Lonchura striata: one gene and its partners. The protein of the gene in region 4 interacts with the protein of the main gene of each other region in a biochemical or structural test. Links are inferred from orthologs where the notes say so. Each region holds a gene or a part of one and is shown on either strand. Other genes may lie near its edges.

Region 1 (6,165 bases), on a different chromosome or scaffold from region 4:
TAGTGCTGCCTGCTTCGCACAGAGGCAGTCACAGAGAAAAAAGTGTGTGTTTAACCCTCTGGTAGTGACAGAGCACTGTAATATATGAGCAACCATGCAGTTCATTTTTACTAAGAAAATTATGCATTTAAGCTTTCAAGGGAAGCAGGCAAGAGAGAACAGCATAGGAGGGAAAGACTAAGAAATAATTGTGGGGCATTAAGTAACATTTAAACAGCACATGAGATCTGTGCAAGGGGGGGTTATAGCCCAGCAGTGGATGTGCAGTTCTTCTTAGTTTCTTTTCCTGGATGGTGTGGGATCACTTTGTCAAGTCAAAGACAAATTAGCTGGAGTATTTTACTTAACTACTGAAAGCTACATTAAACTTTTCCCTCACCACAGTGGACGTGTCAGCAGCAGTAGCTACTGGAGGCCAAAGTTTTACTGCAGTTGCCACCAGAATATTATTAACACAGAACAAGGCTATTTCCCTGAAAAATGAAGTTGAGATTAATGACTAAGGCTGGAGGACTTAGGAAGCTTTATTCATAACCATGAGAGAGATCCCTGGAAGAAAGATGTCTGAGAAGAGCAAACCAGAGAATCAGACTGATACATGAAAAAAACCCCAGCAAAAATAAAACCAACCCAAACAACCACCAACAAAAACACAACAATTAAAAACCCCCAATCCAAAACACCACAAAAACAAACAAACAAAAACTTATCCATGGCTCTCATCACACTCTTGGCATGGCCCATGGCCACATGCCAGTGCACTTTCCTGAAATGACCTTGGTTTGTACTCCTGACAATAGAGCCAAGTTTCCTGATCGGGTGCATAGACACACATGGATCAACAGGAACTGTCAACTCTGCAGTCTGCAGAAACGGGAAAAGGGAGACAGAAAAACAAACAGCTTCTCAGTTAACACGAGAGCTGTCAACACCAGTTTTGGGAAGATGAGAAGATAAACTCCAATGATGAAACAGTATCAGAGATTTATTTAAGATCTTAGAGGAAGGCGCAGAAACTGCTTGAAAATGATTCAGCACAAATAACTGTGTTCAGATAAAAAAAAAAAAAACAGCTAGTTTCCTTTCTCTCCCTCTCTTGATTTCGTTTCTGCAACATTCAATTTCCTTTCAGCAAGCCTGCCCACTCTTGTTATGTGTGGTGAGAGTATGTCACATGCTGTCTTTTATGGACATGCTCCTGATAAAACCACATCACCCACAGCAGTGAAGCCTGGGGCACATTATCTAAAGATGATTTTCTCTTCTCAGCTGTGTAATTGCAATAATTTTAAATGGTACTAAGCAGAAATAAACTGAACAGCAGCTCCAGCTGGCCGGTGCTCCTTGAGCTACTGCTTTGTTCTCTGCCATGGCTGAGCCCACCTGGCGATCTGTGGTCCTGCTCAGTGTGGCCACAGCAAGAAAAACTTTTGTGGCTGCTCTGGTAGAGCAGACTCCCAGGGGTCTGTGCTTCCCACAGATATACTTCTTTGTTTAGGGGAATCAAAACAAGAAAACATCAGAGCTTGCCAGTGGCTTTTGAAACCACAATCAACTTCTTTTCGCTCAGCCTGTTGCACAATCCTATAATCAGCAGCGGCCCCAACATGCACTGTTCCCGCCAAAATGGGCTGTGATTTACACATCAGTAACTCCCTCACACACCAGTAAAACCCTGCGAGGATGTGGGCCAAATCTGGAACTTGAGGCAATTCCCCTCTAAGCAGTATTGAGTCTCCCTGCATTACACCACTGTACTCAGATACATGGCTCTGACTGTAGCAATTGGAAAACAAGCACTTCAGGTACTTGGGCTCACAGGATGGTTTATTAACCTATTTTGCACACCAAAGTGTACCCTTTTTTTTTACCTTTTATCCTTCTGTATTATCTTGTATCCTTTATTACATATTATCTTGTTTTTATTTATCTTTTTCACTACTTTAAAATAAAGAATATAAATTAATGCTCTCAACTCAACCATCCCACTAGTTTATGCACTGATAGGAAAGAATCTCTCCCCCACAGACTCAAAAGAAGCGCCCATCTCTTTGTGTGGCTGCAGGGGTATAGACAGAAGCTGCCCTTTAAGCTTATCTCCCTTCAGGGTGAGGAAGTGTTGCTGAGCAGGACAGGATTGATTGAGGTTAATTTGGTTTTGGCTTTACTTAATGAAGAGTAATTTAAATAATTTGCCAAGGATGTAATCTGTCTCCAGATTCACAAAGAAGAACAAGCCATAAGTCATAAATGGCTCTGTCTAAACATGCAAAATAAATGTGCAAAGTCACACACACATGCCAGTGGCATAAGAGACCAGTATGACCTCATGGCTTGAGTTTGTGGGTGCTTTGCCTGCACTGGGCTCTGCTGAGCACCGAGTAGGGCAGGAGGGGCATGTGGGGTGCCCTTTAGTAAGATGGCAGTCTCAGTTAGGCCCTAGCCCCTTGTGATGACATTCTGGAGAGGCTTCCATGATTTGTGGAGCAGCTCTTGGAGTGAGGCTATGAGATGCAGCCCTAGGCATCACATGCTGCAGACCACCACACCTCCTTCACGAGGTATGACGCATCATGCAAACATCCTCCTGACCTGTTTACCTGCCTTGCCATCTCCTATAACCCAACAAACTTGTTTTGAAGACATAGTTTCTTATGTAACAGGAATGCCTGAAAAAGGCCAGTTCTGCCTGAACAGGGCTGAGTTACTAACAGGCATGTTCATACAGCTGAAGGGACCCCAAACATATCAGGTCAAGGAAATTAGCCCACACGCCTTATAGGTTATATACCAGCTGAGAGACAAAGGCAATGCATCCTCAAAAACATTAGAAACTTTTCTGTGGCCAACCTAAGCTGCTCTGACACCAGGTCACGATCTGGCAGGGTGCACTGTGTGGTGCTGACAGAGCTGGTTTACTGCTTTGGGAAGGGCCTTGCAAAAGCTTCATCCAGCTATAGCTTTAATTTAGATGTCTCACCCTGAGAAATGTCTTGTCTGTGAGCTTGTATCACTGCCCCTCCCACATGCCAGCCCTGCAGCACCACTGTGCCAGATGCCTCCTGTCAGCACCAAGGGGCTGAGGTTTCCTACACAGGGAGAGAAATCAGCCATGTTTCAAGATGTTTTTCCATCATTCTGGGAAATAGCAGGGAAAAGGCTGTCTGCACTGTGCTGGTGAATGCTTCCCCTTTTAATGGAACTTCAAAGTCACCAGCATTTCTACACACTTGACTTCAGAGGTTTCTACCCCATAAAATGGAGCCTCTTAACATCCTGTTATGGGTCCGTATTACACTATGACATTTTAAGTTTTGTTTTGATGGGAGAGGTAGTAATTTACTGACTTTCAGCCATAAATCAGTTCTTTGTTATGTCTGACCCATCTGTGCTTTCTTTGCATCAAGCAGTTTTCATTTTCCCCTAAAAGCAGAAGTCCGTGGCATGTGTCACAACATGAAATATCAACTCTCTCAGAGACAGGAGGCAGATGAGTGATCCACGTATCACTGGCAGCTCTCCCAACATTCTGCAACAATCACAAAGACATGAGCGTGACTTTGTTCCAGCTCTTGTTTCCTGCAAAAAACACCATCTAAAATTACAGCAGCCACAGGTAAGTGTGCCCTGTCATGTGTCAGCCAGAACCATGCCATGCAGACCCTGCACTGCAACAGGAAATATCCAGCAGTGCGGGGGAGTGGCCCCCAAGCTGTTGCAAGTGGTACATGGAGATTGTTTCTCCATGGCTGGTGTGAGTGCAAGGTCACTATCACTTTGAATAAAAGTAAGGCTTAGAGAATTGGGGTTACTCAGCTTGGTAAAAAGGAGGCTCTGGGAATGCTTTATTGCAGACTTTCAGTATCTGGAGGGGGGCCTATAAGAAAAACTGGGACAGACATTTCAGAAGGAGCTTTTGCAATAGGACAAAGAGTCATGATTTAAACTAGGGGTGCATTGATTAGGTTAACTATAAGGAAGAAGTTTTTTATTTGTATGGTGAAGGTTGCCCAGAGAAGTGGCGGATTTTCCATCCTGGGAAACATCCAAGGTCAGGTTGAATGGGGCTTAGAGCAACCTGATCTATGTGACAATCTTTCTGCCGTTGTGGCTACAAGCAGCAAAATACAGGGGGACTGATCTAGAAAACCTTCAAGAAGTCTCTTCCAAATAAAGCTATTCTATGCTTCTATGATAATAACACACTCTGTTTCTTCTGCTTGTCCAAGCACTCTCCATCTCTCCACTTCTTCCTCCTCAGCATCATCATTGCAACCCTGTCCACGTTCCCTGGACCACCACCATTACAAGCGCAGCCCACCCTCCCATTTCTCTTTGCCTAGAGCAAGCCCAGCTCGCCCTTCTGCCTCTTTGTGCCCTGATGATACAAACCGCACTGTTCATCTCCCCTGACCCACCACAAACCCACCCCACGCCTCCATCCCCTTTTCGCTTAGCAGTCCCCATCCCTCCACCTCTGTTCCGCGCACAGCCCATCCTCCCGCTCCGCACACCGCACTGCTCCAGCCCTTTCCGGGCCGGCAGCGTGGGCGGTGTCCCGGCCGCGGCCCCGCGCCGCCCGGGCACGCCGCCGCCTGCCCGCCGGGCGCGGGGGGCGGGATCCCCGCGCCTTTTCGCTACGTCAGGACGGAGGGAAATCCCCGCTGGACTGCACCGCGCTTTTAGCGCCGCGCTCCGCCCCCGTGCCAGCACAACGCTGCTGCCACCGGCCCGAGAGCAACCTGTGCGCTCCGTGCCCCGCCGAATCGAGCCTGAGCTCTCCGCGTCCCGCCGGGCCTGGGCGCCCCGTGCCCCGCCGAATCGAGCCTAGGCTCCCCGTGCCGAGTCTCGCCGAGCCCCGGCGCTCCGTGCCCCGCCGATCCTCGTCCCGCCGACGCGATGATGCCTGGCCGGACCCCGCGCAAAACCGCGCCGCCAGCCGCTCCTGCAGGTACCGGAGGGGAAAGGAAAGGCGGGGGACGGGACGGCATGGGATGGGACAGGGACAGGGACAGGGACGGAGAGAGACACACCGTCCTGCTCCCGGGCGCTGCTGCCCGGCTCCAGCACCGGCTGGGCGGCCAGCGCCTGGCGCGGCGGCGGACGCTCGTTTGGAGGCGAGAGGGATGCAGCTGCTGCTCCCAGTGAGTGGGGGCAGAGAGGGTGCGGGATGGGGTGTGCTTCATGATGAGTAAAAGGTAAAAAAATTGGACATAAAGTGGCGTACTGTGGGGGTCCCTTTAAAGCGGTAACCACGCGCGTTTCCGCAGGGCGCGAGGCGGCGGTGGAGTGCGCCCTGGAGCTGACCCGCATCGGCGACAGGTGGGACTTGCGGCAGAGGCTCCTGAACCTGCTCGCCAAGCTCTTCTGCCCCGGGACGTGGGCTGCCCGCGGACACGGCGAGCGGAACGCAGGAGGACCTTGGCTTTGCGGATTTGGAAGAAGAGGCTCCACAGACATTGGGAGATGAAGAAACTTCAAATGTCGCTGCACTGTATTTACCTGACTGCAGCTGCTGAGGATGGCTATCACGTGTTTTCTCTGAAGAATGTTACAGCAATACTGGCATATGAATGCCAGATGGGAAGAAAAAGATAACAATGGGCAGAGCCTCTAAACTGTGCTGTGGTGACTTCGGGCAAGCTGGTGACATGGGGAGATTTGGGACAAGACTGAACTTGCCCTTCACCATGGTCTGAGAACACCTTCAGGAACCCAGTTTCCCCAGTCACCCTCTGGTCCTCATGTCCCATAGCCATGTTTCACCGAGGAGTTCAGCCCACCTCCAGGATGAAATAAAAAAAAGTGTCAGTCTGTTGGAACTTCGGATCACACACCACACAGGAAAAGCCAGTTGCTGGATCTTTGACTGTTCCTCTTCTCTAAAGTGTGGATCCTGCTGGACAGGGATCAAGTGGTGTTCAAATTTATTCAAATTATTAAAATTTATTGAAGACAATCACTATCTTTATTGAAAGGTTTTTTGTTACAGGATGTTGTTTTGCAGACTAAAAGTTGTAATTCTACGAATCAACAGTGTTGCATAATTCTAGTCTATAGTATAAATATATAGGATAAGTTTATATATATAGTATGTATACATAAAATATAAATGTGTGCACTGCTAGTGCATGTCATGAGTATTTAATAGAGCTATTAATTGAA
Region 2 (6,897 bases), on a different chromosome or scaffold from region 4:
TCAGCACTGATACAGCTGATACTAGTCTGCTCTTCTATCTCCTACAAAGCTCTATAGGATTTGAACACAGTTAAAAGCTGTATGATCTACTGTCTTGCTGACCCTGTCTGACCCAGCAGCCTAGTGTAAAACAAACTGTGTGCTCCCCCACACATGCTAGCCATGGGTGGGACAATAGAGCCTTTCCAGGTGATCCTGGCTAAATCCCTCTTCAGCCCTCTCCCCACAGCCTGACTTGCTGGCCATGTGGTTCCAAGAATGGCAGGCCCTGACTCTTAATAATTGATTATGTACAGGCACTACAGGGGTCATTCAGCTGCTGGGCCGTACGTGCAGTACTAGCAGATGTTCCCCATTTCCAGCAAAGCAAAGGAATTTTCTCTGGGCAAAGTGTGGCCCTTGAGCTGCCAGTCAGAGCACCCCTTTTATAGGTGAAATCTGAGACTTTCTGGAACTACAATGGAAGATCCTTTCTAAATGTCATCTCTAATTAGTCTATCGCATAATTTTTAGTAGTCCAGAAAGACTTTCTGTCTAACCTATTGGACATTTAATAACCCCAGCTGTGCTGCACAGAGCTGGCTGCTTCTCACAGGGTTCCTGTGCAGTGATGCCAATCATTGATCTTGTCTGAGGTGTGTGAGCACAAGAGCAAAGCGCTTCTGACAGGTCACAAGGAACCAGCAGCACTCCCAAGACCAGACTTGGAACAGTTTGGTTGGGATTCTCAGGGTCAAGGACAGCAAATCTTTCACACAAAAAGACAGGGCCCTCATGTTCTTAAAACAGAAAACATTGTATAGGAAACATACAGAACATAAATGCCTCAAAGCTGAAGTGCAAGCCCAAAGTTTGAGGGACAGAGACCTCTAGATTTGCTCTTGTTTAATTGACGAGTCAATTGAAATGGTGAAAGTCTTTCCTAGAGTGCTCCACTAAAACTGTCTTTGGGGTTGCACCTGATACAGGAGACTTCCTTTTGAAAAGGGTAGGATCAAGAACCCCACCTAGAGTAAATACATGTCAGCTCCTGAGACCTTTCTCTGTGGTTAGAGGAGAGCATGTCTTATTTAAAAGAAAAGTGAGAGAGGGAAGCTGTCTGAGTAGAAAGTAGCACAGAGCAGTCCTGTGTGAATAATTGAAGTGGAATCTGGAATGCACACCGCCACATCGGGAACTTCTGGAGACCAGCTCTCATCGGAAGAACTGACTCTTACTGGAGAGGTAATGGAGAAGTTTATGGTCAAAACCTCTGTAGTCTCAGCCCAAAATGGAACAGAGACTCCAGGGTTGAAAGAGACACCCCTCATAGCACAAAGTATATGGGATTTGAAAACCAGGCACTGTTCCGGGGCCTAGACACAAATTCACAAAGGGATCATTCAGTGATGCTAAGGATAGCCAGAGGCTTCCTCCAGAGGAAAGGATTCTAGGATTTCTGAAGCTGTGATACTGGAAGAGATGAGAGACTCTAGAAATCTCCTCTTGCTCAGTTCAGGCTGAGCACCCTTGAAAAGAGCTGGATGACATTATATTAGAGATATTTTTGTTCTTTGGCACTGCAGCGCTGAATGGTGCAGACAGTGATACAGCCTCAGAAGTGTCACAGTCTAGAGACATACAGCTATCCTGACTGGCAATTTCTTCAAATAACTAATGACATTGGTGCTGCATTTGCTCAGTGCAGGGGAATTTTTCTTTGGTCTGCTGCTGGCATGGCCTCTATTGTGTGCTAAACTGCAAATCAGAGAGTCAAGAAGGAACTCCAAGAGAAGTTTGTGGCACACAAGGTGTCCTTCTTCAGGAAGGTAGCAGAAGCCTTTGTAATCAACCTCTTTGTAAAGAGGATCAACCAGCACACCCAGCTACTTTTCTGCTGAGCTGCTCTCAAACCACTCTTCCCCCAGCCTGTAGCACTGCCTGGGGTTGCTGTGACCCAAGTGCAGGACCGGTACTTGGCCTTGTTGAACCTCATACCATTGGTCTCAGCCCAGTGATCTGGCCTGTCCAGATCCCTCTGCAGAGCCTTCCTACACTCCAGCAGATCAACTCTCCTGTCCAACATGGTGTCACCTGCAAAATGACTGAGGGGACACTCAGTCTTCTTCTTCAGGTGGTTGATAAAGATATTAAACAGGACTGGTCCCAGCACTGAGCCCTGGGTTTCACCACTGTTTACCAGACACCAGCTGGATGCAGCACCATTAACCATCACTCCGGGCCCGGCCATCAGCCAGCTCTTAACCCAACGAGCAGCCATGGGCTGCCAGTGTATCCAGGAGGCTGCCGTAGGAGACAGTGTCAAAGGTTTACTGGGGAGCAAGGGGAATTCAAGTGGAACAGGAAAGAGGAGGATGATGACCTGGGATATCTCTGAATGAAATAGTTTGAAATGTTTCTCTAATATTTTTTTATTCATGCAGGAAGACTAGATTTTCCAACTTTTCCTCATGTCTTTCCCAAAAATGCTTCCAAGTATGTCAGAAAAAAAGTAATTCCAGTGACAGCTTTTGTGCAGGTTTTCCTGGAAGTAAGTAACTATTTCTAACTATTGATCAAAATTAGATGGTAAGTATTACTGCTGAGATAAAGATTTAAATCCCCTTAGAGCAGTACTCTTCTCAACTTAATTATTGTTAACAGGCTACTACAAGTTGTGTTCTGTGGAATCAATTCATTTGAACAAAATATATATCCAAGTCTTTCCAAGGCACAGGATTAATTCACAAAACATTGTCAAGTTCAATCCATTAGCAGAAGCATACTTTGCAAGTTTTCTAGCTCTCCAGTCAAATATCTTAGAATTAGAATAATCATACTTAATAATTTTAAAAAAGGATAGCATTTTTGCTAGTGAATTTTTAAAATTTTATAACTACAAATTTGTTTTTTTGTTACATACCTCTTTTTAAAATCCAGTTTTCCAACAGTCACTGCAAGAAGAAAAAGAAGAGCCAGAAATATTGTACTTAGGGACTCTGACTGCTGCATCTCAGGCATAGTGAAGAGTTGAATGAGATGGAGGACAGTGTCTGCATATCTGCAGTTCTAGGAGGAGAAAATGATCTATCCCAGTGACCTATCTTTCTTAGCTGTTCCCAGGATGCCCATCATATTAGCTCCATCTCCCCTGTCTGGAAGGTAGTAACACAGAAAGCTGCTATTTGACCTCATTCCTTTATCTAATCTCATCTATCAAGACTGTGTGCAGCAACTCAGTATCTGAGCACCTCAGAGAAATTACATGAAGTCAATAACCTTCTTCGGCATCTCCTTTTTGTACTGGAAAAAAGCAGTGCTTATGAACAAGGAAAACCAGGTCGGTGCTCAGTATTCAGCTACTCATACCCACAGGGAAAGTGCAGAGAATGAATAGGGGGGGCAGAGTGGTGGATAAAAGAAGTTCCACTTTCTGTGGAAGTCTTCCAACAGCCACATCATAGCCACTCATTAATTATAACCCAGCTGATATGGAACCCAACATGTTTGACATGCAGCACAATTGTCTTAAGATGTTTAACAGATGGTGAAAAGTGAACTGCAGGTAAATTGTTGGTCCCAGACTACTCAAATAGCAGCAGAGCCAGAGCTGCACTCCTTGGGCCTGGATCCAGGACAATAAATTCTCTGCATTGGAGTTGAGGTAGCCTGGCAAGGAAGATTTTTATGCTTCAGTGGACTCCCTCACACAGATCTACTGTGGAGTACAACTGCTTGTCACCTTCCTTCATCCCATCCTCCAAGTATACATTAGTGAAACATCTATTGACTGTGTTTTGCACAGGGGCAGCATGTCCTACAATATCCCACTGTACACACCCCCTGCTCACACGCCAGAGATTGAGAAGGTGGATGAAGTGGGCCTCGAAACACCCAGTTTGACACCTGAGTAACCTTCAAAGCTGTCTCTAGGCAAAAAAGAAGCAAAGATCCCAGGGCTTCAGACAGCTGGAACCTAGTTTGACAAGGATGGCTTTTAGCAGCTCTGCTGGCTCAAGTCACCCCAAGACAAGCCCTCACACCCGCTCTCCTTCCCACCATGTGCCACCCTCTGCTTCTTTTTCATAGTAGCTGTTTGTGGGATTGGATGGTGACCCAGACTGACCACGACGGCTCAGGGATAAGAACCATTGGTTTGGGCTGTTTAAGCCAGCATTCCTACCAGAAGGAATATCTGTCATCACAGTTCAGTGCTTAAATATAAGCCCATATACTGATGAGGCTGCTTGTCTCAGCTGCTGTTGCTGAAGCTTCTGCTACATTGCCTGTTGACAATAAGTAATTTGCTATGTAAATTCTCATAATTTCTATGCTTCAAAATAATTTTAAAGTCTGCTGTAATAAATGTTGGCCTCTTGAGGAATAACAGAACCCTTGATTTATGCTCTTACAATTACCTCTGTTAAGTAGTCACAGCACTTAAAAAAAAGATCTTAGAGTGGCCAAAGGCTATTTTGTGCACCTTCAGGTCCACAGTTCAAATGCCACATAAAGTTTAATTGCTTTTCTGATCTGGGCTGATCAGTCCTGCTCTTTGCAGCATGGTCCTTGCTGCCTTCCTTGCTTGCCATCAGTGCCAGCTGAGAGGGGCTGGAGCCTTTGGCACTGTATCTACAGTCAGGCTGAGCAAGTGGTGCCTGCAATTTATAAGGGATCATGTGCTCAACTTCCATAAATAAATGAAAGAGACAGAGTCATCCTTAGGAGCCTCGTCACCTTTTAGGCACTCATGCATACAGTAAGTGCACTGGGCCAGCACAACAGCTCAGGAACAAAATGAGCGATTAATTAAACAAATGTACAGTAACAGAGGTAATGGAGTAGCTATCTCACAGTGGGAAAGCTTCCCAGAGCCATCTCACCTGACCAAAGCCTGGATTAAGCCAGCAAGGTGGAAAGGAAATGAGCAAAGAAGAGCTAAGCAAGTTTTAAAAAGATCAGAGTTTGTGACTGTAAACCAGGAATACCTAGTCCTGTCCTCAGGGTACAGACACATTAAATCATCAAAGCCTGTGAAACTTCCAGCGCAGAGACATTCTCCTGCCCACAGCCAGCATGGAGTAACCTGAGACTGTTTGGTCCTGGGAGGAGGAGGAAAGGCAGCGCCTCACATTTGTGTTGGACAGGTAAGCACTGTGCAGCTGGTGCTGGCACCCTTCTGTTCATAGCCCAGCAGTTTTGCTGCAAATGGTTGTGTCCCTATCCTCATTTACACCAGCAAGCTGGTGGGAATATTGGTGCAGGTTTTACACTGCAATTGTGGTTAGTTTTCTGCTGAAAGGGGGATATTTATGTTGGTATGTTTGATGTTTATGTACCTTAAGTGTGGCATCTTCCATCAAACAAAGCCTACAGCAAACCATGGCTCTGAGCAAAGTGATGGTAGGTGATGGACGTGCCCTAGAGAAGTATTAAGAGGTCCCACTGTATGTGAGAACTTCTTCTGTCTTTAAGGCAAACACATCCAGGTATCATTTGCTGAGATTCAATGCTAGAAGTTTCAGGAAAGCAGTGCATGACTGAGAGCCCAAAATGAAATGGAAGAAAATATCCCTCAAGTCTTTAAGCTTGAGTGAATATAACAGCAGTGATTTGGGGAAAATTGTTCCAATACCAGTATCAACAATGCCTAAGTCCTTCCAATGCCTAAGTGCCTCCTAATGTGGCAGAGGAGTCATCTTAAAAGCCACATGGCTACAGGTGGTACAATTGACTAGTCCAAGACTGTTCATGAAATGTTATTTATAACTAGTTCTTGAAACACTCTGTAAAACACTTATTTTAAGCAAATGTGTTACAAACAAGCACTGGCCAGCAGATCTAGTGCAAGAGCATTACCTGAAATTCTAAAATCATCTGTGGATTTAATTTATTTCCACAATAGATGTAAGCACAGGACACACACACTTTTTCGCACATGTATAACTCCAACATAGATGCAAAAATAAGGAAGTGTGGCATGGAATAAATAGTTCCTAAAAATATCTGGTGGGAAGCATTAAATTTCTGTTCAAATAGTCAGCTTTGTACTCTTCAGCTGGAGATAGGTGGATTAATCATTCCTCAGGGAACTGCTAATTAGAGTAACTGGGAACAGATAAAACAGCCAGAATAAGAATAAGAGTTTTAGTCTTCACTCATGTAAGTGTAATTCCACAGTGATGCTCTTGACTTTATTGGAATAGATCATGGTTCTTTGTGCTGTGGCCTGGTGGACTGTCAGACCCTAGATGTGATATTATTAAAAGAGGTTTTTCTTTGGTGCAGTAATAACGCCCATCTTTGTTCTAAAGCTGCAGAAACTGACTGGACTGTATCTCCCTTAGTGGGATGTCACCAGTGGTGCAAGTGATACACAACTCCCTCTCCACTTCAGGAAACAAAGCAGATTAGAACATACACTCACACTACAATGGTGGCATTTCAAAAATGTCATGTTTTCAGATTTACATGAGTATTACAGTTTACTTGGAAAAAAACTCAAAGTAATCCTCCTCTCCTATTTTTTCATTAACAAACTAAACACTAATTTTGACTAGCTCATTTTGTTATGGGAGTAATGAAGAATTTTTAAATATTTGTATGTTCTCCACACCTTCAGCTAGTGCCTTCACTAGGTACAACTTGTTTGGTTGTCTGAGTATGGCATATCTAATTGTGCCAGCTTGTTGGAGGGCAATGAGCTCACTGCCTAGGAAGTCCAGAACACGATGCACCATCCTCAGCTGCCTCCTACATCAGCAGAAGAAATCAAACTTGCCCCAACAAATAACATGCAAAACAGAGGAAGCATACTGATACTGGGATCTTCTGCATAGTGATCTTCAGCATTTTGCCTAATCCCAGTGAATTCACAGCAAACAATATTGCTGCTGTCCTTTATCTCAGGCTTATAAA
Region 3 (6,811 bases), on a different chromosome or scaffold from region 4:
ATTCAGAACAATATGAAGTTTACAGAGTGGGTGATAAACTCATACAGATAATTTGCTTTCCAAGAAAGACCTTTCAGTGAACGTACTGGAAAATTTACTAATGAGAAAAATTTTTCTGCTCCAAGCCTGGTGTGCTATTGCTCTTTCTATTAAAGTTACCACAGAAAGATTAAAACCATTCAAGCTGTCAGTAACCACAAGATATTTGTGATAGCTTAAAAAAAAAACTTAACCAGAATCAGCAAATTGTCTTATTTGGAAAAGCCCTTAGGCCTGGCTGATTTTCCTAGATAGCTCGCAAAGAAAATGTTGTGTGTCCAGAATGGATTCACACTCACCTGAAAGCACAGAAGGAGCAACTGATTTCTATTCTGATCCCACAAAAGTGTGTCCTAACATGACCAACAAGTGAAGAGAATATTCGGAATCCTGTATCACATCAGGACCACCAGGTAAAAGCACAGAGTGGTCCCTTCCAGACAGGCACATCACAACTAGGGAAAAGGAAAAAGCCGACTCAATCTAAAAAGCTTTAAAATATAAATGTTTATTTAGCTACAATATTAAAAGTACAATATAATGTATAAAACATAGAAATTCCATAACTAATTCACATGCTAAAAGGATTATTTAACCAGTTGTAAGGAGAAGACTTCATGAAATTCATGGATGTTTTAGCCACAAGGGTTATTTCATCAAGTTTCAGACTTGAAATACTGAACAACCATTGCAGAGAACTTGCTCTCCCACATCACCATAACTAGGGAAAAAAAGAAACAAAACAGAAGAAACAAAAGTCAGAGCGCCTGCTGTTTCTGGAACATAACAATGGCATACTATTCCATTATCAACTGCAACCATGGGACTCCCACACAGCACACTCAGTATTTCTTTATCCACAGAACTGTTAACAATGAGAGAAAAAAATTAAGATTATTCCTTGGAAGTGCATGCATTCAGCACTGGCCAGCATGCTATCCTGCTGGTGGGGAAGCAGGAGAAATTTTTGCCTCCTACAGCATTTAAGTAAGAAGCTGAACTAGACTTGTACTACGGTTGATTAGAGTGCTTCACACAGGCATTTTAATTTGCATGTTTCAGACAGTTTTACTGCTGCTAAAGCAAGAGAATTGTTTAACTCCTTTATGGGTACGAGCCAGATATCGGCTGCACCCAGCTACCAGGCCATGTGTAATTAAAATAAGCTTCCAAACTCGAAAGGCACTTACTCAACAGCGGAGCACAAAGAGCAGGTGACGGTGTTACAGCAGCTGCAGAGCCTGCTGCAGCTCTGGCACACGAACCGGTCACACTGCGCACACGCCTCCTTCACATCGGCCGTTCTCACACACGACGAGCAGGCTCTGGACGCTCCCACCGGTGGAACTGCTCGGCAAAGACACGGAAAAGAAGGGATGAGCTCTACAGCAAGGCAGGGGAAGCAGCTGGAAGTTCCCGCAGCTGCAGAGCGCGTCCGTGCACAGCTACAGGTGGCAGCACTCCACAGGATGCTCGGGAATGAGAAGGGACAGGGAGCGCCGCTTGGAACGTCCTTGGTTCTTTCTCTGCTCAGCGGCAAGATGCAAAGTGATCTAAAGCAGAACACAACACGCGACAGTTCCGAAATCTGTCAGCTCAAATCTAACACTTCCTTTAAGGAAAGTCAATAAAGAAGAACCACACAGCAGTAAACCACTCATCATATTACAGACTTCCTAGGGAGGGGAAGCCAAAGGGCAGCACTGGTCTCTGTAGTGACCAGGGACAGGAACAGAGGGAATGGCCTCAAGCTCCGTCAGAGGAGGTTTGGCTTGCATATTAGGAAAAGGTTCTTCACCCAGAGGGTGGTCTGGCACTGCAACAGGCTGCCCAGGGAAGTGGTTAAGGTTTAAACTCTGGGAAGTGCCAGAGTTTAAGAATCATTCCGACAACGCTCTCAGGCTCATGGTGGGAACGCCGGGGGTGTCCTGGGATGGAGCTGCACTTGGACGGGTCCCTGCAGCTCAGGGCATCGCGCGGTTCCGCGACCCGGCCGGGCACTCACTCACCCCTGTCCGCGGGCCGCCGCCGCAGTTTCCCGTCGTGTCCGATGAGGAGCTGCCCGCTCCAGCGGGAACCCTCGTCCTGCGCCTCCCCGGCCGGCCCCGGCTCCGCCGCTCGGGCGGCGGCCGCCGCGCCCTCCATGTACGCCTGGGCACCCCTGAAGAGCAGGCGCCGGGTCCTCTCTGCCGGCGAGAGCAGAGTTACGGGCGGGCTCCCCATGGCCGCGGGCCGGCACATCCCCCCGGCGGGGCGGCACATCGCATCCCCCCGGCGGGCCGGCACATCCCCCCGGCGGGGCGGCACATCGCATCCCCCCGGCGGGCCGGCACGGCACATCCCCCCGGCGGGGCGGCACATCGCATCCCCCGGCGGGCCGGCACATCGCATCCCCCCGGCGGGCCGGCACGGCACATCCCCCCGGCGGGCCGGCACATCGCATCCCCCCGGCGGGACGGCACATCGCATGCCCCCGGCGGGCCGGCACATCCCCCCGGCGGGGCGGAACATCGCATCCCCCCGGCGGGCCGGCACGGCACATCCCCCCGGCGGGCCGGCACATCGCATCCCCCCGGCGGGCCGGCACATCGCATCCCCCCGGCGGGCCGGCACATCGCATCCCCCCGGCGGGGCGGCCGGCCCGGCGCCCCCCGCTCCTCGCCCCGCTCACCGAACACCTCCCGCCGGTACTCCTCGCCCCGCACGCCGCGGCTCAGCTCCCGCAGCCCCACGCGGGTCTTGAGCTGGAGCGGGGCCGCGTCCCCGAAGGGGCAGGAGCGCTTCGGCATGGCCGGACCGACCCGCGCCCGCCCCGCCCCGCCCCGCGCCGCGTCACGGCCGCGCCGCCGCCGCCCTCACATCCCGGCCCGGCCGCTCGGGACCCGCGGCCGCTCCGCTCTCTCCGCAGGGAAGGGAAAGCTCCGTCCGCAGCGCTAAATCCCTCTTCCCGCCGCGTCCCGAGCGGCCGGCGGGGCTGGCAGAGGCGCCGGCCCGGCCCCGCCGCCGCCGCCCCTCAGGCGTCACCGCCGTGCGCCTCCGCGGCGGCGGGGCCGCGGCACAGCCGCAGCGGCGTTGGGCCGGTGCTTGTCTGTAAACTCGGAGTCACCCATATGCGGGGTTGGAAGGACCCGCGGGGATCATCGAGCCCAACTTCTGCCCTGCGCAGGACACCGCAGGACTCGCACCGGGTGCCTGAGCGTTGTCCGAACGCTTCTTGAACTCTTGTCAGGCTGGCGGCTGTGAGCGCCTCGCTGGGGAGCTGTTCTAGAGCCCGACCGCCCTCTGGGTGGAGAACCTTTTCCTAAACCTCCTCTGACACAGCTTTCGCCCATTGCCTCACGTCCTGTCGCTGTTCACCACAGGAAAGAGATCAATGTCTGCCCCTCATGAGGAAGCTGTAACTGAGGCTGAACAGACGGAGTGCCCTCAGCTGCTCCTTGTGCAGCTTCCCCACCAGACCCCTCATCGTCATCGTAGCCCTCCTTTGTAACCTCTCTAATAGCTTTAACAGATTTTTATATTGTGGCACCCAAAACTGCCCCCAGCACTTGTGGTGAGGCAGAGCAGTGCAGAACAGAGCAGGACAATCCCCTCCCTTGCCCAGCTGGCCATGATACTCCTGATGTGATGTCCCCAGGACAGGATTGTCTCTCCGGGCTGCCAGGGCAAGGCTGGCTCATCAATGACCCAACTTCCCATCAATGAGGACACCCAGGTCCCTTTCCTAGTTCCCCAGTCTGTCTCTACATTCCGGGTTGCTCTGTTCCAGGTGCAGAAACTGGCATTTGTCCTTTTCGTACTTCATACAGTTGGTGATTGCCCAGCCCTCTAATGTGTTGAGGTCTGTCTGCAAGGCCTCTTCCTTTCAGGCAATCGACATCTCTTACCAATTTTGTTTCATCTTTAAACTTACTTAGTATCCTTTCCAGTCCTGCATACAACTTGTTTATGAACTCTCTTTTCCCTTCTTGGCAGCCCCCACACTACGCTGGGCTCATGGAGCTCTTTGTGCAGTCTAAACCCCCTGCCCAAGTTTGGGCTGTCTGAATGCTGTGGGACCAACAAAAATGGGCACAAGCTTGAGAATTTCCTTTTTGAAAGACCACCAGGGAGGCCAGAGAATCCCTGTCTGGCCAGAGGACTCTGGTGGGCTCCTCAGCACCAGCCAACATCACGAATGGGCTCACCACTTGTGGGCACAATGAGTTTTTGGGGACTGATGCTCTCCAAGAGCTTCTGCTGTGAAAGGAAATTACTGCAATTAATTTGCTTTTTACAAGTGGGATCTATAGCACCGCAGGTGTGGTTACATGGTTAAAAGTAAGTATCAGGAGCCATTCCAAGTGGCAACCAGTCTGCATACTATGTATATTTTGAAAATACATTGTTTTCCTCAGGGCAAACAAGTTTAAAATGGTGTTGGAGTTTAGGTGCCATGTTTTGTGTCACTTGAAGGTGATCTGTCAAGAGAGTTTTATTTCTTCCAGAGGTCTCTGAATTCAAAACTTCCCCTCCATGTACTGTGGAATCACAACCAAGTACAGGAGCGATTTTTCCATGAATGAACTTACAGTCTGCTAAGGGTAGAGGACTTGTTCTTGGTTTCTTTGTTTTGTTCTGATCAAAAAAGTTCTTCTTCTGAAGAAAACAAAGAAACAACCAAAACCTCTAAACACCAAAACCCAAACAATAACAACCTTCTCAAAAAGTAGTGATAGAATCAGTATTTTTTTTAAAGCCTTTCATTCAGAAAATCATAAAAATTTACATTTTCAATACTAGCACAAGATTTAGAATGGCATGGATTAATGTGCTGAAAATGGGCCACAATACCTAATGGACTAACTCTTGTCTGGTTTCATTGCTCGAGTTCTTCCAAAACTACTGAAACCCCAAGACCAGTAGTACTGAGCACAGTGCCTGACTATGCCTGTAGGATCACAGCTATCCTGAGCTAGAAGGGACCCACAAGGATCATCAAGCTCTGCATCCTGGCTCTGCCCAGGACAGCCCTAAAACTCACACCAATGCTTGAGAGCATTGTCCAAACACCAAAATGATGAGTGTGAGTTTGCTGAACTGCTAATAGTTTGCACATACAACCATTCTGGTTTCATACAGGTTAATGTGATTTTTAAATTATTTTTCTGCAGACCTGATGAGCCCAGCCTTCTGGTCTATGATTGTAATTCACAGCAATTCCCAAAAATCCCTTCTGAGCTCCAAAATCTTACTCCTGCCACTCTTTCTTTATCTGCAAGGATTTCTGCTTTGGCTTTTTCTGCACATAATTGCAAATGCCATGCTTAAGTATGTTCAGCAGACTTTTCCAACTGCACATTGAAAACTCATGGCCTTTTCTTTCTGTCTAAGGAAACTACTTTGTAAATATTCACAACTTTGTAAATATTTTGATGTCCCTGATGTTCTTTGGGTTCTCTGGGAAATACTGGTTAATGCGAATGTAATTGCAGAATGTAATTGTAGTTGGAAAGAGCCCTGTCAGGATAGAGGACAGCAGATCACACATACTTCATTAACATAGCATGGGATAAATATGGATGGAGCTCAGCTGTCTGAGAGCTGGATGAAATATGGAGAAAGAGCTAAAAGCACTATTCCACTTGTGGGAAAGGAGTGCTCTGAAACACTGATCTCAAATATGAAGTAGACTTGAAAGGGAGTAGCTCATGGTGAAACAGTGGTGCTGGTGCTGTCACTGAAGAGTAAATTTAAGGACACTTTTGCAGAATCACAGGGTATTCTGAGTTAGAAGGGAATCACAAGGATCATCAAGTCCAGCTTTTGCTGAGGGCTGATCACATTTGACACATTACCACCACTAACCCACTGCAGGATTCTTCTGTGCATCTCTGAGTCAGCCTCAGGTGGTGACATCTCTTAATTGTTTTGTAAGATTCACCTTACCAACATCTGCTACTGACCAGCTCTCTTCTCTTTGCAAGCTATGAAGGCAAAATAATTGCCTGCTCTGCACCAGCAGGCCTGAGCACCTCACAGGGAGGGAACTGGTTCACTTGCCAGTCTTCTGAATTGTTACCCAGCAGAATGGTGCTGAGTGGTTTTTTTTCTTAGTTCCAGAGCAGTGAGCCTTGAGGAAGATCCACTGATGATTTAGAAGTAGACAAATAGTGATCCAGGCCTTAAAATACTTTATCTATCCCTTCAGCTTCACTTATATTGAAGTCCTCCTCTCCATGTGCTTGTAGTAAAATTTCCCATTTTTTTCTATTCCTCCATTATTAGGCCATTTAGAAAGACATCAAAGCACATCACATAGAGGTGGGACTCTTCCTCCTACACATCTTTAAATGGGGAGTTTCCTTGGTTGAATTGGTATAAAATGAGTGGCTTTTGGCCAGCTCGCTGGTTCTTTAATGTTTTCATGTTAAAACGGTTAAAGAAATAATCTGGAAATTCTTTTCAGTGGAAATTATATGATAGTAGCTGATATAGTTGGCCATGTGCCAGCATGCAATTTGTGTTTTGTGGGATGGGCTGTCAGGATGGGCACAGGTCCCCTGGTGGGCCTAGGGAAAAGTGCCACACCCCATGTGCTCAGTCCCACTGCACTGTCCTTTCTCTGCTCTGCAGTGTGGATCTGAAGATAAAAAAACCCTCCTTGCATAAAACTGCTTTTACCTGAAGGGCTAAGGGGCCATTTGCTTTCTTCTGTATCCTTTTCTTAGTACATCAGCCTTAACAGACATGTTTACAGCTGGGATCAGACATTATCTGTTCACAAGAGCAT
Region 4 (7,717 bases):
CTACTAATCGAAACCAAGCTCCGCTCCTTGCCTGAGCAGCCCCACCCAGGCAGTGCCCCAGGGCGGTCACATTCCTGGAATTCTTTCAGTCTTCCTGAACTACCTCCCTCTCCCTGGGTGCACCAGCTCTCCCCTTCATCTCTGGGGTCCCCAGCATTGCTGGCCAGGCACGGGGAGCTGGGGAGAGCCTCTTCTCTGTGAGGAGGGCACAGAACACAGCACTGGGCTCAAAGGCTCCTGTCCCCTTCCCAAAATGCTGGGCTCTGCCAATGGACCGTGAGCTGAAGGGGGCCAAGAGGCCTCAGCTCCCAGCAAGGAGGCAATTCCCCACTGTTTAGATGCCAATGCCTGACAGCATGAACTCTTTCCAATGGGAACCGGTAAAGGTTACACCAGCAGGGAATCACTAAGATGCAGAAGCCAAATGAAAACTCAGACATCTGTAGGTCATATACCTCCCGCCGGCAGTCCCAGGCTGCACCGCACAGCCGGACCCGGCATTTCAAGAATGCTTCCTGAAGAAATGCTTATTCATGTTAATACCTCACCACTGAGAGCTCCCAGGGTTTGCTGCTGGGGCAGCTGGGAGCACTGCTCCCTGCCAAGGGAAAAGCAGCTGCAGGCTTAGAGCTCCCCAGCACAGAGGTTGCCTCCACCTCAGCTCTGGCTCCCACCACACCAGCTCAGACAGTCCTAGAAGCCCACCCACCCCCCGGGATCTGCTGTGGGATTCACTTCACCATGAGCAAGGCAAATGCTGTTTCCAGAATGAAGAAGTAGCTGTTACCTCAGCAAACCACCAGCCAGCCCACCACAACGCTGGCTTTGAGAGGAGGAAGCTCCACTCCCTGCTGTTAATGACACCAAGAACATGCCCCAGAGCCATGGCTCTGCTTGAAGAACAAGCTTGGATGACATTAGATTTCCAAAGGCTCTTGGAAAAACAGGTCTTTTACATAACATCCAGGGAGAAGGAGAAAAAGGAGGGATGGAGAAAGACATATCTGAGCACAGACTGTGTCAACACGGTGCGTTGGCCCTCTTGGGACAGTGTTTAGAGCACAGAAGGCAAGACCACACACCCCTTTATTCTCCCTGCAAGGAGTAGGACAAGCTCTAGCATATACATTGCAGGGAGCTGCACTCCAGCTTGACCAGCTCCACTGCCAGCCTGGAGCAAGGGAAGGCTTGGGCAGCCAGCCCCAGCACAGAGAGGTGATCTTACCCATCCGCCATTCTCCTGGATCCAGGGATCTAAGTGGTCGGTCAAGTACGTGGTCATCCAAGACACGATGCGTTTCACCAATACCCTCATCTCCTTAACAACGCTCTCCACGCACAAGGCTCCTCCGAAGGAGAAGAAAGCCACGATGCGGCCCCAGTTCACTCCATCGCGGAACAGTTCGTTCACTACCTGCTCAAAGCTCTGATACGCTGTGCTGGGAGTGATGTGGAGCTGGGAAGTGAGGTCGCTGAACGCCCGCCGGTACCTCAGCTCAAACTCATCCCCTGCCTCTCTCAGTGCCTGCCTCACATCGGCTGCTCGACGGATCTCATGGACTTCGAGGCTGCTCTGGTGCACGGTGGCTCCATTCACTATGTGGCTGGTGGCCGCGTGCCAGGAGGGGCTCCCGTTGAGGACCCCGTCCATCTCGTCCTCCTCCCCTGCAAAGTCAGTCCTGTTCTCATCCTCCTCTTCCAGCTGACTCCAGCTGTATCCTTTCTGTGAGAGCTTGTAGGAAACAAAGTCAATCACTAACTCCCGGTTACTGCTGTACATTTTCACACCTGGGACGCCCTCAATGAGTCCATGGTCCGGAGCACAAGCTGATCAGCACTTAGCAGGTCCCGACTCCACTCCTCTTCCTCGCGACCGATGGAAGCATCTGACCTTAGCACAGATGAGGAGAGAGGCACCGAAACGGTTAATGCCACAGCTCTTAGATGCACCCGCGCCATTACCACCGATAGCTTATCGTTATACTGAGATCACCCCGCAGCTCTACGCCGAGGCTCAGGGCCACCAGATTGAAGCTGCACAGAGAACCGACCACAACCAACCCCCTTCCCCGGAAAGCAGCCTTGAGCCCCGGGGACCCCCCACAAGCTCGTTCCGAGCAGACCCCAGATCTCACCGGGTGCGGGCTGCGCCTGGCAGGCCGGCTGCGGGCCGGGGCGGAGGCGGTTCTTGTTCTGCTGGAGCTTCGGGTCGGCCCGGAACGCGACAGCACCGCCCCCGCCTCGCCCCGCCCGTTAAAGGGCCCGGCGCCCCCGCCCCCTCCGCCGGCGTTAGCCACGGCAGCGGGCGGGCAGCGCTACCCAAGGACCACGGCAGCCCCGGGGCGGCCCGGTTTGATGGTCACCGCAGCCCCCCGCCACCCCGAAGCCCCTCTCCCCTCGCAGGCGGAGAGCATAAACCGCTGAAAGCCGGCGAGCGCTCGGCACCGCGGGAGCCGCCGCACGGCCTCGCGTCCCTACGGGAGCGATTCCAGTCACGGTTAGCGGCGCGTAGCCGCTGGGGCCGGGACGGTGACACGCCGGGCAGCGGCAGGCGGGAGCGCCGCAGGGGGTACCCGGTCCTCCCGAGCAGCAGACTGCCCCCCACCCCCCCACCGGACCGCGTCCCCCGGAGCCCCGCACCGCCCCCCCGGCCCCGGGACGGCCCCACCGGTCGCCGTACCTGGGGGGCGGGGCCGCGCACGAGGGCCGACAGGGCGCCCGCGCGGCCGACACGCCAGCCAATCAGCGGCCGCGAGGGGCGGGGCCCGGCCGCGGCCGCTCCCTTTGGCCGAGCCGCGCGTCACTCAAGCTTCACCCTACCCCGCCCCTCACCTCAGCGCCCGACTGAGGGTCCGCGTCCTTCCCGGCTCTGCTGGGCGGGCCCGGCTGGCAGCGACGCCGGAGGTCGCCGGGAGCCCCGCCGGGGCTCGGCCCGCTCAGCAGTCCCCGGATCCTTTCCACATCGCCCGCCGAGCGGCCGGGGGGGTGCGGTAGGGTGGGAGGGGGCAGCAGAGGGGCGGTGCGCATGCGCACAGCGCTCTGAGGCTGGGCGAAGAGCGTCGGTTGGACTGCGCGGGGGCACGGCGCGCACGCGCCACGCCGGCTGGGCCGGTGCGCATGCGCGAATGTGCCGGGCGGAGGGCGGAGCTCCGGCGCCCCCTGCCGGCCGCGGCGGTGGCAGCTCGGGCCTCCGCTCTCGCCGCGCCCTGCGGACACGGCCCTGCCGCTGACACGGCTGCAAACCCCTCAGAGCACTCCGGGATTAACGTGGGGTGTTTTGTGTCTCCACAGTGCTCAGGGAGCCCGTGCTGGGATTGTGAGGGGAGGTTTATGGGGGTAGTGCCGAAGCTGTGAAAGCGACTGTGGCAGCAGGGGCCTGCCCCGCCGTTAACAGCTGGCTACCCATCCCTCTGCAGCACTGCGGGGAAGATTATGCACTACTTGGGGTCGAAAACGCCACTGCGCAAATGGCACTTTGTCCTCACAGCATCGAGAAACCTAGCCGGGCTTACCAGACGGCGGAAGCCGCCTTTCCCGGGCCCAGCAGTCCGAAGGCTGATCTGCTGAGGAACAGCGGGTGGAAGCCGGGCAGCGGACACTGATACAGCCGCCGTACCTGAGCCCGGCTCCGGCAGGCTCCTGCCCGGCCCCGCGGCCGTACCGGCTGACACTGGCTCCGGGGTCCCGCCCGCCAGTCGCTGATAGGCCACCCGGAACGACACTCAAGGCATCCCCTTTTCTGATTGGTCTACTAGGTCCCGCAGTGCGTTATGTGAGTTGTGGTTCGGTTCTCGCCCGGTCATTGTGGCGCTGTGCAAGCACGTACTACATTTCCCGTCAGACTTTGCAGGGAGAGCGCAACTGCGTTGCTTGGGGTCTGATTATCCGGGTCCTGAAGGGGTCCAGCCAATCAGCGCGCCTCAAAGGGCGTGTGCCGGGCGCTGATTGGTGAGTTCGGACTGCGGGGTCCTGTTTGAAATCCGTTAACGGCGGCGGCAGAGGCGCCGCGCGGAGTGGCGGCGGCGCTGCTGAGGTGAGTGCGGGGCGCCGGCCGGGCACCCCCGGCCTCGCCTCTCCTTCCCAACCCGCAGCCCTTCTCCATATCTGGTCGTTCTCTCGCTGCGGCTGTTCCCCAGGCCTACTCCGAGCCCAGGTATTGGTAACGGGGCCGAGGGCTCGGCTGGGAAACGGCGACGGAAGGCGGCTCCGGGCGCTCAGCCCGTGGCCGGAGCCGCTATCGCGGTCTGGCGGGCGGGCTCGTAACGGAGCCCCGGGGGCTGGTTACGAACACCGTGTTGTCCGGGGAAGCCGAGCCCGGTGCCCCCGGGCGGCAGCGGGAGGAGCCGCCGTGGCGGGCGGTTCCCGTTCCCCTGGCGGGGATCGCGGTACCGGAGCTCCCGGCGTGTGCCTTACGGTGGGGTGGGTGCCTCGGCAGTGAAATAAAGTTCTAAGTTTTTCAACAGTCACGCAATCTGATGAAACAGTGTATTTCACGGCGGAAAGCTCTGTAATGTCTCAGTCCAAATCCCCCTTCCCAGGAAAAGGAGGGAAGCAAACCAGGCAAAACCTGGCCCAAGTATCAGAAAAAAACATTCGGGGTACTATTTTTATCTGGGGCTTTTTTTAAGCTTGAAGACCTTCAACTTAATGTAACAATTAGTTGAGGTTATGGTAGCTAAAAATAATTTTATTTTCCCTGAACGTCTATTCTTAGAATGTACCATCTTTATGTCTTCTGAAACTTGTGGGATCTTTTTTAGGGAGCACGAGATGTCAGGGCTGTTTATTTTTGGGAATGGGGGCGGGTCTGGGCCGTTAGCAGAGCAAAGGCTGTGCCTGCCCTTCGCCCCTGCCTTGGCTGCCGGTCGGGGTGGTCTGCGGAGCTTTCTGCGGGCTCAGCTCTCACCTGAGGAGAGTTAAAGGCCTTTTCTCCCAGTTTGAGAATTAAATGATGGAACAGCAGCGTTCTGGGAGGTAGTGGATCCATTGCTGATTGTGTGCTGCAGAAAAGCCTAGTTGATCTTTGAGTAAGGGGCACAAGAGAGGAGGGAGAAGCTGTAGATCCAGAGTGTGTTGGAAGTGTTCACTTCCACCCTGCTCAGGGAAAAGCAAGGATGAAGGGTGACTTTCTGAGGCTGTCAGTGTCACGCAGAGGGAGTTCAGATGATGGCTTTGTGGTGGGATGGTTCTCGCTAGGCTGTTGTAAATCCATTTCTAATGCTCCAACTTACATGTTAAACCCTGGAAAGCATCCAAGACCTTTGGATTATTATCCCAATAAAAAGAACAGAAAACTCTAAGGTGCAGGACAATGAAGAAGCTGCCAGGCTGAATTAAAGCTGCCTGGTTAGTGCAGCCTCCTCTGTTTAAGTGGCAGCTGGTGTTGAAGCCCAGCAGAAGGCCCTGGAATTGCTGGAGCACATTCCCATGCAGCTGCCTCGGCCTTGGGGAAGCTTCTCTTGTTCATTCCTGGTTTCCTCTTTTGGGTTCTGAGGCATGTGGATCGGCTGCCTTTGTGTTTATCTGCTGATGTAACTTAGACTAGCTTCTTGTGTGTTTGTTATTGTTTATTGTGCTTTCTGATCCTGTTAGGATTTGCCATAAGTAACATCTGTCACTTGTGAAGTTCCAGTGGTGTGTGGTGATAAGGCATCATCTCCAGTTCACCAGGGCCTTATCTACATTGCAAGGTGGCAAGAAAGAGCAGAACTCTGCCTTCCTCAGGATCCAGACTGAGTTGGGTTGGAAGGGACCTTAAAGCTCATCTTGTTCCAAACTCCCATCACCATTCTGGGCAGAGACACTGGACCAGCCCTATCCAACCTGGCCTTTAACACTTCCAGGGACAGCCACAGCTTCTCTGGGCAACCCTTGCCAGAGCCTTACCACCCTTACAGGGAAGAATTTCTCCCTAATATCCAATCTAAACCTCTCCTCTTTTAGTTTGAAGCCATTCCCACTTGTCTTATTGCAACCTTTTGGTGTCCCTATCACTATCCTGTCCTTGCTACTCTCCCACACTCCTCCATTTTCTCTCCCTCTGACCTTGATTTCTCATGTTGGAATGCTGCATCCTATCTCCAACCATGGCCTGAATGGCTAGGAGGCTTCTTTGTCCAGGCAGATTGTGCTGTTGGAACAAAATTCACAATTTCAGTGAGACAAACACACTGAACACATCTGTGATGGAATTGTGTCAGAATTTTAAAGCTAATTTGGATTACAGCGAGGTGTGAAGTTATTCCAAAATACCTATTGCACTTGCTGTTGGATCAGTCTTATTCTGGGATAGGAATGCTTGTTCCAATTTACTGTAATCCTTTTTCAAAGCTAACTAATCTAAACCATGCCAAGGCACTCTTCTGGAACGTGCCAAAGTGTAGTTACTCAAAAGAAACCTGATGTCTAGAGGAACCCACTGCCTATTCCTCCCTGTGGATACAGCTGTGCTGCTCTGGAGGCACTTTTAGGTCAGTGAGAGAGGAGACCTAGAAAGAAAATGAAGATTTTAATTAAGTAGTCACTTTATAGAAGGAATTTGGGGTCTTTTTGCAGGCGAGAAGATCAGATCTTCCTTTCCTGCCTCAGCAGCTCTGCAAACCAGGTGAAAGCCGATCCTGCAGAACGGGGGTGAGGGTTCCCCGGCTGGCTCGCTGCAGACACCCGTGTCGACACAGGAGGTGATGGATGTGGGGGAGAGCAAGGTCATGCTTTAAGTCCACGCCGAGCTGTGTAGGATTACAGCGTGCCTGTAATCACGCCTGGGAAATGCACACAGTGCCTGCTAATTAGGGAAAGTCCCTATTAATGAGGAAAAATTTCCACGCCTCCTTTCCGGTGGATGAGTGCTGCAGTGGAGAGAAAGAATTTTGGATTGAGATAAATGTGGTTGAGCTGTCAAAATCACAACTGTGTGTTTTAAAATGCCTGCAGGGAGTGGGCAGCGGGTGTTGGGCTGTGCTTGGCAGAGCCTGTTGGCATTGCAGATACCTCATGGTGGGCACAGGAGTGATAAATCACCGGGGCATTCCTGGCTGATCCTGTCCCAGCCCGAGTCGGTGGGTGGAGGAGCAGGATGCCTCTCAGTGAGCTGCTGCTTCACCCTCAGTCCTGTTCCGGGCAGGACTTGGAGGATATGTGGGGATTTCAGAAGCAGATGTCATGAGTTCATCTGACTGAATGAACTTTCTGGAGCGCAGTCACAATAACTGTTATCTCCCAGTTGTCTCTTTCAAGAAACAGAGTATGAAACTGAGGCAGCGATACAATCCTTTTCTTTTCCTGACTATTCTCTTCTGTCTGGGATAGAGGGGAGAGAGAGTGGTCAGCAATGAGGTCGATGATGAGGGTGGTGACACTGTGGAATATGGGCTCTACTCAGTAAAAAGCTGCAAACTGCAGCAATGTAGCAGTGGGCACAAGTAGCTGTGAAACATGATGCCCAGAGCTCTGACTCTGACTGGAGAGGGTGAGGGGAGAATGCAGATGACGCATTTGATTTTTAAAAAAGTCTAAAGTGTTGACAGAAATTCTATCTTGATTAAGGGCGGTAGGAAAGCATTTGATTCCAGCCATGTCTCGAGCTCAGTTACAGTTGGTTTTGGCTCTAATTCTTATGTTTGCCTTCTTTGGGCCCTACTTTGACATCTTCCCAGCCATGTAGCTGGTGCTTCTCTAATGACATTCTTGCCTTTAACTATCACAGCTCTGTTCTGAG

What was found.
Region 1: the proteins of BCL2L1 (region 4) and PMAIP1 interact in a biophysical measurement, tested with the Homo sapiens proteins (3 studies listed by BioGRID and IntAct, with this or other methods). The link is inferred for Lonchura striata from reciprocal best matches to the Homo sapiens genes BCL2L1 and PMAIP1.
Region 2: the proteins of BCL2L1 (region 4) and BMF interact in a test that uses a peptide from one of them, tested with the Homo sapiens proteins (2 studies listed by BioGRID). The link is inferred for Lonchura striata from reciprocal best matches to the Homo sapiens genes BCL2L1 and BMF.
Region 3: the proteins of BCL2L1 (region 4) and SIVA1 form a complex in vitro, tested with the Homo sapiens proteins (2 studies listed by BioGRID and IntAct). The link is inferred for Lonchura striata from reciprocal best matches to the Homo sapiens genes BCL2L1 and SIVA1.

Annotation. Positions count from the first base shown.
Region 1 is NC_134642.1:39,295,334-39,301,498, reverse strand, and holds PMAIP1 (phorbol-12-myristate-13-acetate-induced protein 1), read left to right. Parts: upstream 1-4,899; coding exon 4,900-4,951; intron 4,952-5,270; coding exon 5,271-5,470; 3' UTR 5,471-5,665; downstream 5,666-6,165. UniProt on the Homo sapiens protein: Promotes activation of caspases and apoptosis. Promotes mitochondrial membrane changes and efflux of apoptogenic proteins from the mitochondria. Contributes to p53/TP53-dependent apoptosis after radiation exposure. Promotes proteasomal degradation of MCL1.
Region 2 is NC_134608.1:32,359,901-32,366,797, forward strand, and holds the start of BMF (bcl-2-modifying factor), read right to left. Parts: upstream 3,003-6,897; 5' UTR 2,903-3,002; intron 1-2,902. UniProt on the Homo sapiens protein: May play a role in apoptosis. Isoform 1 seems to be the main initiator.
Region 3 is NC_134608.1:8,754,318-8,761,128, forward strand, and holds SIVA1 (apoptosis regulatory protein Siva), read right to left. Parts: upstream 2,853-6,811; 5' UTR 2,829-2,852; coding exon 2,711-2,828; intron 2,226-2,710; coding exon 2,049-2,225; intron 1,387-2,048; coding exon 1,230-1,386; intron 761-1,229; coding exon 703-760; 3' UTR 522-702; downstream 1-521. UniProt on the Homo sapiens protein: Induces CD27-mediated apoptosis. Inhibits BCL2L1 isoform Bcl-x(L) anti-apoptotic activity. Inhibits activation of NF-kappa-B and promotes T-cell receptor-mediated apoptosis.
Region 4 is NC_134619.1:7,570,127-7,577,843, forward strand, and holds the start of BCL2L1 (bcl-2-like protein 1), read right to left. Parts: upstream 3,001-7,717; 5' UTR 2,833-3,000; intron 2,735-2,832; exon of another isoform or gene 2,681-2,734; intron 2,267-2,680; exon of another isoform or gene 2,136-2,266; intron 1,892-2,135; exon of another isoform or gene 1,887-1,891; 5' UTR 1,781-1,886; coding exon 1,226-1,780; intron 1-1,225. UniProt on the Homo sapiens protein: Potent inhibitor of cell death. Inhibits activation of caspases. Appears to regulate cell death by blocking the voltage-dependent anion channel (VDAC) by binding to it and preventing the release of the caspase activator, CYC1, from the mitochondrial membrane.